2 linked regions of the Schizosaccharomyces pombe genome follow. Changing the gene in region 2 together with the main gene of any one other region gives a genetic interaction. Each region holds a gene or a part of one and is shown on either strand. Other genes may lie near its edges.

What was found.
Region 1: of trk1 (region 2) and hal4, extra expression of one rescues a mutant of the other (dosage rescue), as found in Schizosaccharomyces pombe (one study listed by BioGRID).

Annotation. Positions count from the first base shown.
Region 1 is NC_003424.3:5,113,105-5,118,237, reverse strand, and holds hal4 (serine/threonine protein kinase Hal4), read left to right. Parts: upstream 1-1,603; 5' UTR 1,604-1,823; coding exon 1,824-3,734; 3' UTR 3,735-4,325; downstream 4,326-5,133. Other genes in the region: serine--tRNA (Ser) ligase Srs1, read left to right, coding at 1-712; fun14 (integral mitochondrial outer membrane (MOM) protein), read right to left, coding at 4,542-4,757, 4,869-5,096. UniProt on the Schizosaccharomyces pombe protein: Promotes K(+) uptake, by the potassium transporter trk1-trk2, which leads to the subsequent cellular resistance to toxic cations such as Na(+), Li(+) and Ca(2+).
Region 2 is NC_003424.3:2,817,510-2,822,980, forward strand, and holds trk1 (plasma membrane potassium ion transmembrane transporter Trk1), read right to left. Parts: upstream 3,563-5,471; 5' UTR 3,273-3,562; coding exon 747-3,272; 3' UTR 677-746; coding exon of another isoform or gene 569-676; 3' UTR 529-568; downstream 1-528. Other genes in the region: MCM complex subunit Mcm5, read left to right, coding at 1-114, 156-528, 569-676; glycine--tRNA (Gly) ligase Grs1, read left to right, coding at 3,977-5,471. UniProt on the Schizosaccharomyces pombe protein: Together with TRK2, defines the major, high-affinity potassium influx transport system. Involved in maintenance of the proper sodium/potassium ratio in the cell and in regulating the plasma membrane potential.

The sequences.
Region 1 (5,133 bases), 2.3 Mb from region 2:
TCAGTTAGAGCAATTCGATGAAGAGCTTTACAAAGTAATTGATGGTGATGAGGAACGCTATTTGATCGCTACCTCCGAACAACCTATTTCTGCCTACCATAGCGGTGAATGGTTTGAAAAGCCTTCTGAACAGCTCCCTCTTAAGTACGCTGGATACAGTACTTGTTATCGTCGTGAAGCAGGGTCCCATGGACGTGATGCTTGGGGTATTTTCCGCGTTCATGCCTTCGAGAAGATTGAACAATTTGTTCTTACCGATCCTGAAAAGTCATGGGAAGCTTTCACCGAGATGATCAACCATGCTGAGGACTTTTATAAGTCTTTAGAATTGCCTTATCGTATCGTTGCCATTGTTTCTGGTGCTTTGAACAATGCTGCTGCCAAGAAGTATGATTTGGAAGCTTGGTTCCCTTTCCAAGGAGAATACAAAGAGCTTGTTTCTTGCTCAAACTGTACCGATTATCAATCTCGTAACTTGGAGATTCGTTGTGGTGTAAAGAAGATGGGCGATCGTGAAAAGAAGTATGTTCACTGCCTTAACTCTACTCTCTGTGCTACTGAGCGGGCACTTTGCTGTATACTTGAAAACTACCAAACTCCTGATGGTGTAAATGTACCTAAGGTGTTGCAACCTTATATGGGAGGTAAAACTTTCCTTCCATTCACCAAGGAATTACCCAAAAATTCTACCTCCAAGAAGGGAAAGAATTAATTGGGTGAAGGTTAGTTGGATTAAATAAATAAGATATCTTCTACTGTTCCGGATTATACCGTCATTATTGTGCGTTTGATGGATTTTGTAAATAAGATGTATGTTGTTTGAATCGAATTGTTCCCTTCCCGTGTACGAAAACGAAAAAAAACCCTTGGTAAAAGACAAATATTTTTTTGTAACTTTACATTTTCCTGGGATAGCAATAGAACTTTTTTAGAAAATAAAATTACGACCAAAATACAATGAATGTCTCGATTATATGTCAAAATGAGTACATACTATTGACTACGGGGTCGTAGCAAGAAACAACAATATGCGACCCCAAAAAAAAAAAAGAAGAAGATGAAAGAAATTAATTAACACAATTTATTTTAAGATAGAAGATTATCATCTGTCTTGTAACAAAGCATTATTAAATGTTTATTTCCTTGCTTTACCGACTGGCTTCACCTTAATTACTAAGTTGTACTAAATTCTGACATTTATGGTACACGCTATTTTGGATTGTGTTTTCTTTAAATTTTTTTGCACTATTTTTATTATTTGTTTGCGAAAATTTTTCACAGTAAACACTTTAGCGTATTATATTTTGTTTTGTTATTGATTACACAATGCATTAAAGCATTTTTTACACAATCTTGGTATAGCAATTTTATGCACTTCCACTCTTTATCTTTGATAGCAAAGCTGACGATTGTATTCTTTTATCTCGTAGCCCCCAACGTTTGCTCATAATAACGCATCTTCCGTTGACATCTTAATAAGGTTGTGGCTACGTTCCTCAACAGAGTTACCTATTAACGTGGCTGTAATTCTCATATTAAAGGGTTCGTTGCAGTGTATTAAGCAGAAGGCTTTAGTGAGAAGGTTGGGTGAATGGGGTCATCCGTTAGCAACATACCGAAAAGTATTGGCAAATAGAGAAAGTCAGTAGTTGGCGGCTTTTAGGGCTCTAAACTGCCTGTATTCTATTTCTTAATAGTCTCTAAGAGATTTATATCTCTATTTTTAAAGGAGACTAACCGAGAATCCTCCGTAACCCAAGTTTGTTCGCGAAACGAGTCGTGCATTCATATTTAGGTGAAAAAAATTTTTCATCAGCTAAAAAATGGGTGAAAAAGACAAACTCCACGAAATTTCAAGCAAATTTGCTTCCTTAGGGCTTGGGTCGCTGAAGTCAACCCCTAAAGCTCGTGAAACGACAGAACCTCCTCCGCCATCATCTCAGCAACCTCCAAGCACTCCAAATGGCAAAGAAGCTGCTTCTCCAAGTGCTTTAAAACAAAATGTCCGTCCTTCCCTTAACTCTGTGCAGCAAACTCCTGCATCGATAGATGCAGTGGCCTCTTCTTCCAATGTAAGCCTGCAATCTCAGCAGCCCTTATCTAAACCTGTCGTTTCATCCAAACCTAATCAAACCACTGCAATGCCACCTCCTAGCAATAACCCATCTCGCCATGTTAGCTCTACTTCAAACAAACCAGCAGCCGTCTCTCCTAATCCAGCAGCGCACCATGCAGAGTTGCCCTCTGGGTCCGTTCCTCCTTCAGCTTCTGTATCCCGAGCAAACTCAACTGCTACCACTACACCTCACAAAGCTGGTGTCGTCTCTAATCCAGCGGCAGCTAACGTTCACGTACTATCTGTAGCTGCCTCTCCTAATCCTTCTACGCCTTCCAACGGCCCAGCACCTGTTTCCACTACAGCAACACCATCTAGAAATCCAGTCACTCGTCTTCAACGTATTTTTTCACAAAACTCTGTATCTCGCCAAAACAGTCGAACTGGTCGAGGCGCAGCTGTTGCAAATACTGAGGAAACGAATAGCACAGGTGGTAGTGAAACAGGTGGTGCTGCTAATAGTTCATCTACTTCAAATCCTTCCTCTGCGAAGTGGTCTCGCTTTACTGTTTATGACGATGCAAGTCATACGCATCAATTAAGGCCTGCTCGTCGGCAAGAGAAGCTTGGTAAGATGTTAAAAGACTTCCTTGCCGGTAACAGTAAAAAGCGTGAGGAAGAGAGGATAGCTAAAGAAGCTGCTGATGCACAGCATCAACTCAGTCTTGTTCAATCATGGATCAACGGATATGGTCAAGAAAAGCTTGCTGACAAAAAAGATCCCGCTAAAGTTTCTGCAAGTTTTGTAGAGAAATATGGTCGCTGTCAGGAGGTTATTGGTCGTGGCGCTTTTGGCGTTGTTAGAATCGCACATAAAGTTGATCCTCAAAACTCCGGCTCTGAGACATTGTATGCCGTTAAGGAGTTCCGTCGAAAGCCTGCCGAGTCTCAAAAGAAGTATACAAAGCGCTTAACATCTGAGTTTTGTATTTCTTCTTCATTGCGACATCCAAACGTGATTCATACATTAGACCTGATCCAGGACGGCAAGGGTGACTATTGTGAAGTGATGGAGCTTTGTTCGGGAGGCGATTTGTATACGCTTATCATGGCCGCCGGTCGTCTAGAGCCTATGGAAGCTGATTGTTTTTTCAAACAATTGATGCGTGGTGTTGATTATTTGCATGATATGGGTGTGGCTCATCGTGATTTAAAGCCGGAAAATTTGTTATTGACCGTTAGCGGAAGTCTAAAAATCACTGATTTCGGTAATGGTGAATGCTTTAGAATGGCCTGGGAGAAGGAGGCTCACATGACATGCGGCCTCTGTGGATCCGCACCCTACATTGCTCCAGAAGAATATACAGAAAGTGAATTTGATCCACGCGCAGTAGATGTCTGGGCTTGTGGTGTTATCTATATGGCCATGCGTACCGGTCGACATCTTTGGCGCGTTGCCAAAAAGAGTGAAGACGAGTATTACTCCAGATATCTGATGGATAGGAAAAACGAGAGCGGTTATGAACCTATCGAAATGCTTGAACGTTCAAGATGCAGAAACACTTTGTACAACATTCTTCATCCCAACCCAACTTACCGCCTGACAGCAAAACAGATAATGAAGAGTGAATGGGTTCGTTCCATCACTCTTTGTGAAGCTGGCAATGCTGGTCTGTAAGTAGAGAGTAGGATTTAAAAGTTACAAATCATGACATTCGAAGCTTTCTAAGCTGTTCGAAAATGAGGATTTACTATTGTTACTGTCTTGATTAAACTATGTTTACATGCATAATTTAATTGTATTGAAAGACTTTTGTTTTTTTATTGCATTCACTCTAGAAGGGCGAAGGGATGGGTTTGATCGTGAAACGCGTCACAAATTATTCATAGTTTGACACAATGCCAAGCGCTATTCAACAATCGCTTGTGTTTGTCTATTTTAACTTTATTACACCTCATGTGGTTTCAACACCGGCACTCCAATTGCCAAGAGGAAAGGGAGAGAGTTGGTGTTTAAACTACATATTTTGGGTATATGTATATATTTTTAAAGAATTCTTACATTAAAGCTTTATATTACGTTCGTTATCATTTTTATATGTACACTAGTGAGCGTGGTGTCTGTGATTTGTTGCATGCACTAGTAAGTCACTTTTTAACTAAACCTAGAAAGTTATGAGCACGGAGCTGACATATCTGAGTTACTTCCACTGTCTAAGACATTAGTGTGTGCAGCTACTTAATAATTAAATTCGGTACCAAAACAAAGAAAATCGTGTTGATTGGTTAATGAATGAAAACTCAATTATAGTTAGATAGATGCATATGAAAAGTAAGCTTCTGAACAGGAGCGTGAGCAAAATGTTTCACTATTGGTAGTATAGAACGAACGTTGGGGTTCAAAGGAATCATAGGAATTGAGAGGAGTGCGAGGGCTGAACAATGTATCAAAATCGAAATGTGTTGTGGTGAAATTCAGCCACTTTTATGATGACACAAATCCAACATACATAGCTGAAAAGAAGCTCAGCTTGAAATTGGGGTTTGTACAGATCCAATTACGAATGGTAGGAAATGTTGATTGAGTATTAAACCTACCTGAACTTGGGAAATGAAATCCAGTATACTGCTCCGTAGGACCTATAACTTGTTGCTGCAGCTGGGGCCAATTAATTCGGATCAGACCTTTACTGTTAATATACTAATAAACGTATTGTGTTAGTATTATGAAAGATAAATACGATTTTCAGTGCGAAACACAAGGTTTTTAAAACCTCTAAATATAAATAAAGAATCAAACTTAAGCACTTACAGCAATGGTAGCGAAAACGGCGGAGCAGGCAACGATGAATAAACGGCCCAATTTTCCTAAAGCAAATCCGGCTGCTAAACCAAGAGAGCTTCCAATAAAGATTTGACGGTAATTCAGCTTAAATTGAGAGGTGATAGTAGTTGCAGCACTTGCCGAATCTTCACACAAGACTGGGCGAAATGGGTGAAACCTGTGCAAGAATCCTCTTCCTAGAAGTAAACAATTCATTATGTGAGAGTAAAAAATAAAGAAAAATAATAGAAAA
Region 2 (5,471 bases):
TATTGCCCGTCACGTTATTAATCTTCATACCAATTTACAAGAATCTAGTGAGACTTTAGCAATTGGAGAAATTCCTTTTGATAAGTTTCGGCGGTACATAAACTATTGTAGACAGTAAGTATACCAAATTTAATATTAGTTACTAATGGATTTAGCAAATGTGCACCTAATCTTGATGCAGAGGCAGCTGAAAAGCTATCTAGTCAATTTGTCGCAATTCGAAAACGTGTTCATCAGTCAGAGCAGGACAGTAACTCGCGTTCTACCATTCCAATCACTGTTCGTCAATTAGAGGCAATCATACGAATTACTGAATCCCTTGCAAAAATGTCATTATCACCTATTGCTTCTGAAGCTCACGCTACTGAAGCGATTCGACTGTTTTTGACCAGTACACTTGCTGCTGCTACACAAAGTTCGCCTGAAGTTACTGAGGAAGTAAAAAAAATTGAAGCCAGCTTAAGAAAAAGGTTACCTATAGGGTTTCAGGCGAGTTACCGTATGCTTATACGAGAATACGTAAATGGGGTATGTTTATTGATTAAATCTAAGTCTAACATAATTTTAGCATGGATATTCACAACACGCGTTAGAAATGGCTTTACAAATTCTTTCGTCGAAGGAAACAATTCAACTCAGAAATGGCGGACAAACGGTGTATCGATCAGGAGTATGAAATTTAGCGAGCGTACTATTTATTAGATGATATAATTTACAAATATAATACATGATCGTGATAAGAAATATCAGTCTCGAGAAACTGCAATACTGCCACGTGCGTTGTCTATGGAAAATCCGTGACGACGTTGATAATCTTCTTCTTCTTTCAGATTATTTTTTTCAGAAGGAAGAAGGATGGCTCGATCAACAGCCCTGGGTAAACCTCTATGTCTACCGCGCAGTTCAAGTGCTATAATAACTAGTTTACTTATAGTAGTAAATCTTGCTGAAAGTGAACAATTTGAGGAGCTTAATCCAGTACTAAGTCCCACCGTACCGTAAGCAGAGACTACTTCAAAAAGGACAGTAAAAATACTGAAATCGGTATCTAGAGGATTGGAGATTTTACCTCCTTCACAAATGCATATGATGAATAGCCCTAGAAAAATATACCATAAATCGTAACTTAATTGTTCAGTAAGGTGATCTTTTAAGAAAGATTTCCCCTCATCATCTTCAGTTCTGTAAACACCCAAAGATCGCTCCTCATAAACATTGGTATTTCTCATGTTGATAGCAACTGGATAAACAGAAATATACATCATAACCATGTAACTGACCAGTACTGCTGGGTGAAGTTCACTAATTGATACACTCGTGAATCCTGCGGTTCTTGTACAAACTGATTGAAATATTGCATTTACAACCCTAATACCTTTAGGAAGGCTAGCGACTGCTTTACTTCCAGTATCTAAGACCATGAACAATACCAGATCAATGACATTAAGCAGCAGCAAAACAAAAAACAAGACCCAGGTTGCTCCAGATGGAAACAATAAAGTGAAACATCGTCGAGGATGATCAAGGAGAAATGCCATAGCTTCTTTCTTCTCAAAACTAAAAGGGTATAGCTTATACGTTGTCCAAATGAATGTTCTAAAAAAACAAGGGAATCCCGTGTTACCTGCGATAATGAATAAAGATGAAATCAACAAAAGAAAAATGTTTCGATTCATTGGCACAAAAGACGATGGTATTAAAGAAAACCCCAAATCATTAAATGAAGAAGCAGACGAGAATAACGCCCACCACCCACGACGTAAGTCATAAGAATCTATTACCTCTCGCGATCCCACTGCCGTATAAGCAAAAACAATGAAGGTCACAAAGGCAGCAATATTAAAAATGATAAAATAAAGGGTAACCATGGAGCAGACGCATTTCAAAGCTCTATATTCAATTCCACCCAGCTCGTCCCGCTGTTCTTTAGACAAAGCAACGAAAGCAGAATTACGATCGACAGTAGGATTATACGACAAATAGGGAAGTGACATAGTAGTGTGTCTTGATGAAATAGAAGGCTCACGTTTTTTAGCAAAGGCAGAAGAAAGGACTCGTTCAAGAGTCAAGTTTCGTCGGTTAGAAGTGAATGACTTTGTCCAACGTATTGGACGATGAAGTCCTCGCGAAAATCTGGAACGTAAAGATTTTTTATAAAAACGACTTTTTTTTCTAAGTTTAAGATTACGTTCACGCTCTATGGTGGGCTTATTAAGTCCGGTGAAAGCAATATGCATGTCAACTGTCGATGGTTCAGTGTCTTTAGATAGGGAGGAAGAAGACAGAGACGACCTTACTATTCCGTCTATTGTATTGGCAGGCCTTAAACCACCTTCTGGGAAAAGATTGTCGTCCCCAGTGAGAGTAAATGAATCCCTCGATACAACCAAATTAGTATCAGAATAACTATAAGCCATAGGGAGAGATTCCTGAACTAAGGCGCCTTCAGATAAAGTTTCACGGGTGTCGTCAGCCTCTAAAGGATTAACGGAGGAAATAAAAGAGCTTTGTCTACGAAGTCGGGGATGAAGGTCATCCATTTCATACATTTGCATCGAGGCTGAATGCGAACTACCAAAATCGTAATTTTTATTTTCAATGGAAGGTTCATAGTCATGAAAAGTCATGTTGTGACTTTCCAAATCCATGTCTAGCGTATCAGACTTTTTTGGGAGATACTTTCCAAAATACTCGTCTTTAGATATATCTGCCTTGGGAGAAGGGGGGTTGTCAGGAAAGTACGGATTGTTCGTACTGTCATGCGTGTCAAATCTCGAGAAGTTTTTTAGAGACGTTGGACTCCTTAGTGAATGTAGGTATGGTAACATTACACGAATTTTTCTACCACGAACACCCTGTTCTTCGTCATCCTCGCTTTTTTTCATTAAGCTTTTACGGAGCTTTCTCTGAAATTTTCGAGTACGATTTTGACGAACAACGTCTTTAAATTTTCGTCGAAACCAATACAGCCGGATGAAGGAAATACTTCCGTGCATCCATATAGGAACCGTAATAGCAGTAAATCCATACAGGATAAACTGCTGCCAGATAGATAAAGAATTTAAGTCAACACTGTTAAGGCCTGTTTGGGTAGTTGCGCTGCTAGCTAAGAATAAAGCATCGATATACTTGATTTTCGTGGTGGTCCCTCCGGTAAAAAGTAGGATAGAGGCAATGATAGTTAAGGATATAATGTAAATATAATGAATTGCCAAGAATCCAAAAGTTGGTATCACCCACTTGAACCATCTTTGAATGTAATTTAGGACCATTTATTTTAGTCAATACTTCCAGCCAAACCCACCAACAACAGAACAAGAAACAGAGAAATTGGTTTGAAGTTAACGGAAATCCTTAACTATGGACAAGATAAGAAGCAATTAGTTTTGAAATCTACGGGTAAAAGCGATACTGATGAGGAAACCACTAAATTTCTAAAAGGGAATTATGACAAATGACAAACGACATTTTTACCCAATCTTTGACGATTCCTTTCAACAATACTTGAGGATTCCTCTCTTATAATACAACGTAAAATCGCGTCTTCTTTCCCGTAGAAGGTAGTTTCTAAGCGGTTCAAAGTTTCAGCCTATACTTCGACCATGTTGTACGCTTTGGGCAGTGAAGTGAGATTGTTGACGATCTTTAACATAAATCGTTGTTGTTCCGTAAAAAATGTTAACAAGATTTAGAGTGTTCAAGTACTTTTTACAGGTACCGTATTTAAATTAAGGAAAGTCCAAAAGTTCGCATAACAACGCATAATATGAATTGATGTAGCCTAACAAAATGCACTATCTATGAATTTTACGAACTAGCAAAATTTCTAGCTTTGAACAGTTTATCTTCCGTAAACATTTGAAAACCAGGCGAAAAGCAGGCATTTTAAAGCTTTTCGCTCCTTGCTTGCATAATTTCTTTTCAAGCGTTTCGTTCTTCTTGCACAGCCTTTGCTAAACGGATTTTCAGTAGAAAAATGACAGAAGTTTCAAAGGCAGCAGCTTTTGATCGAACTCAGTTCGAGGAGTTAATGAAGAAGAGATTCTTCTTCTCTCCTTCTTTTCAAATCTATGGTGGAATTAGTGGATTGTATGATTATGGCCCACCAGGTAGTGCACTTCAATCTAATCTGGTTGATATTTGGCGAAAGCACTTTGTTATCGAAGAAAGCATGCTGGAGGTTGATTGCTCCATGCTTACTCCTCATGAAGTTTTGAAGACTAGTGGGCATGTTGATAAGTTTGCAGATTGGATGTGTAAGGACCCTGCTACCGGTGAAATCTTTCGTGCCGACCACTTGGTTGAAGAGGTTTTGGAAGCCCGTTTGAAGGGTGACAAGGAAGCTCGTGGGCAGAATTCCAATGACCAGCCTGAAGAATCTGATGACAAGAAGAAGCGTAAGAAGAAGGTAAAGGAAATTCGTGCGACTCGTCTGGATGACAAGACTGTTGAGGAATACGAGTTTATTCTTGCCCAAATTGACAACTATGATGGAGATCAATTAGGTGAGCTCATGAAGAAGTATGACATTCGTAACCCTGCAACCAACGGTGAGCTTGAAACCCCTCGTCAGTTCAACTTAATGTTTGAAACTCAAATTGGTCCCAGTGGTGGTCTGAAAGGTTACCTCCGACCTGAAACTGCCCAAGGACAATTTTTAAACTTTAGCCGTTTATTGGAGTTTAATAACGGCAAAGTTCCCTTTGCCAGTGCTATGGTTGGTAAAGCCTTCCGTAATGAGATTTCTCCTCGGAGTGGCCTGCTTCGTGTTCGTGAGTTTTTGATGGCCGAAGTCGAACACTTTGTCGATCCTAAAAACAAAGAGCATGATAGATTTGACGAGGTTTCTCATATGCCCCTTCGTTTGTTGCCCCGTGGTGTCCAATTAGAAGGAAAGACTGACATTTTGGAAATGCCCATAGGTGATGCTGTCAAGAAAGGAATTGTTGATAACACTACATTAGGTTATTTTATGGCCCGTATCAGCTTATTCTTGGAGAAAATTGGTATTGATATGAACCGTGTTCGTTTTAGGCAACATATGAGCAATGAAATGGCTCATTATGCTTGCGATTGCTGGGATGCCGAAATTCAATGCTCTTACGGCTGGATCGAGTGTGTAGGTTGCGCTGATCGTAGTGCCTATGATCTTAGCGTTCACAGTAAAGCTACCAAGACTCCTTTAGTAGTTCAAGAGGCTCTTCCTGAACCTGTTGTTGTTGAACAATTCGAGGTTGAAGTTAATCGCAAAAAATTTGGTCCACGTTTCAAACGTGATGCCAAGGCTGTTGAGGAAGCTATGATTTCGTGGCCGGAATCGGAAAAAGTTGAAAAAAGTGCTCAACTTGTTGCTGAAGGTAAAATTATTGTTAATGTTAATGGTGTTGAGCATACAGTAGAATCTGATCTCGTCACAATTGAGAAGAGAAAGCATACTGAACACATTCGTACTTATACTCCTAATGTTATCG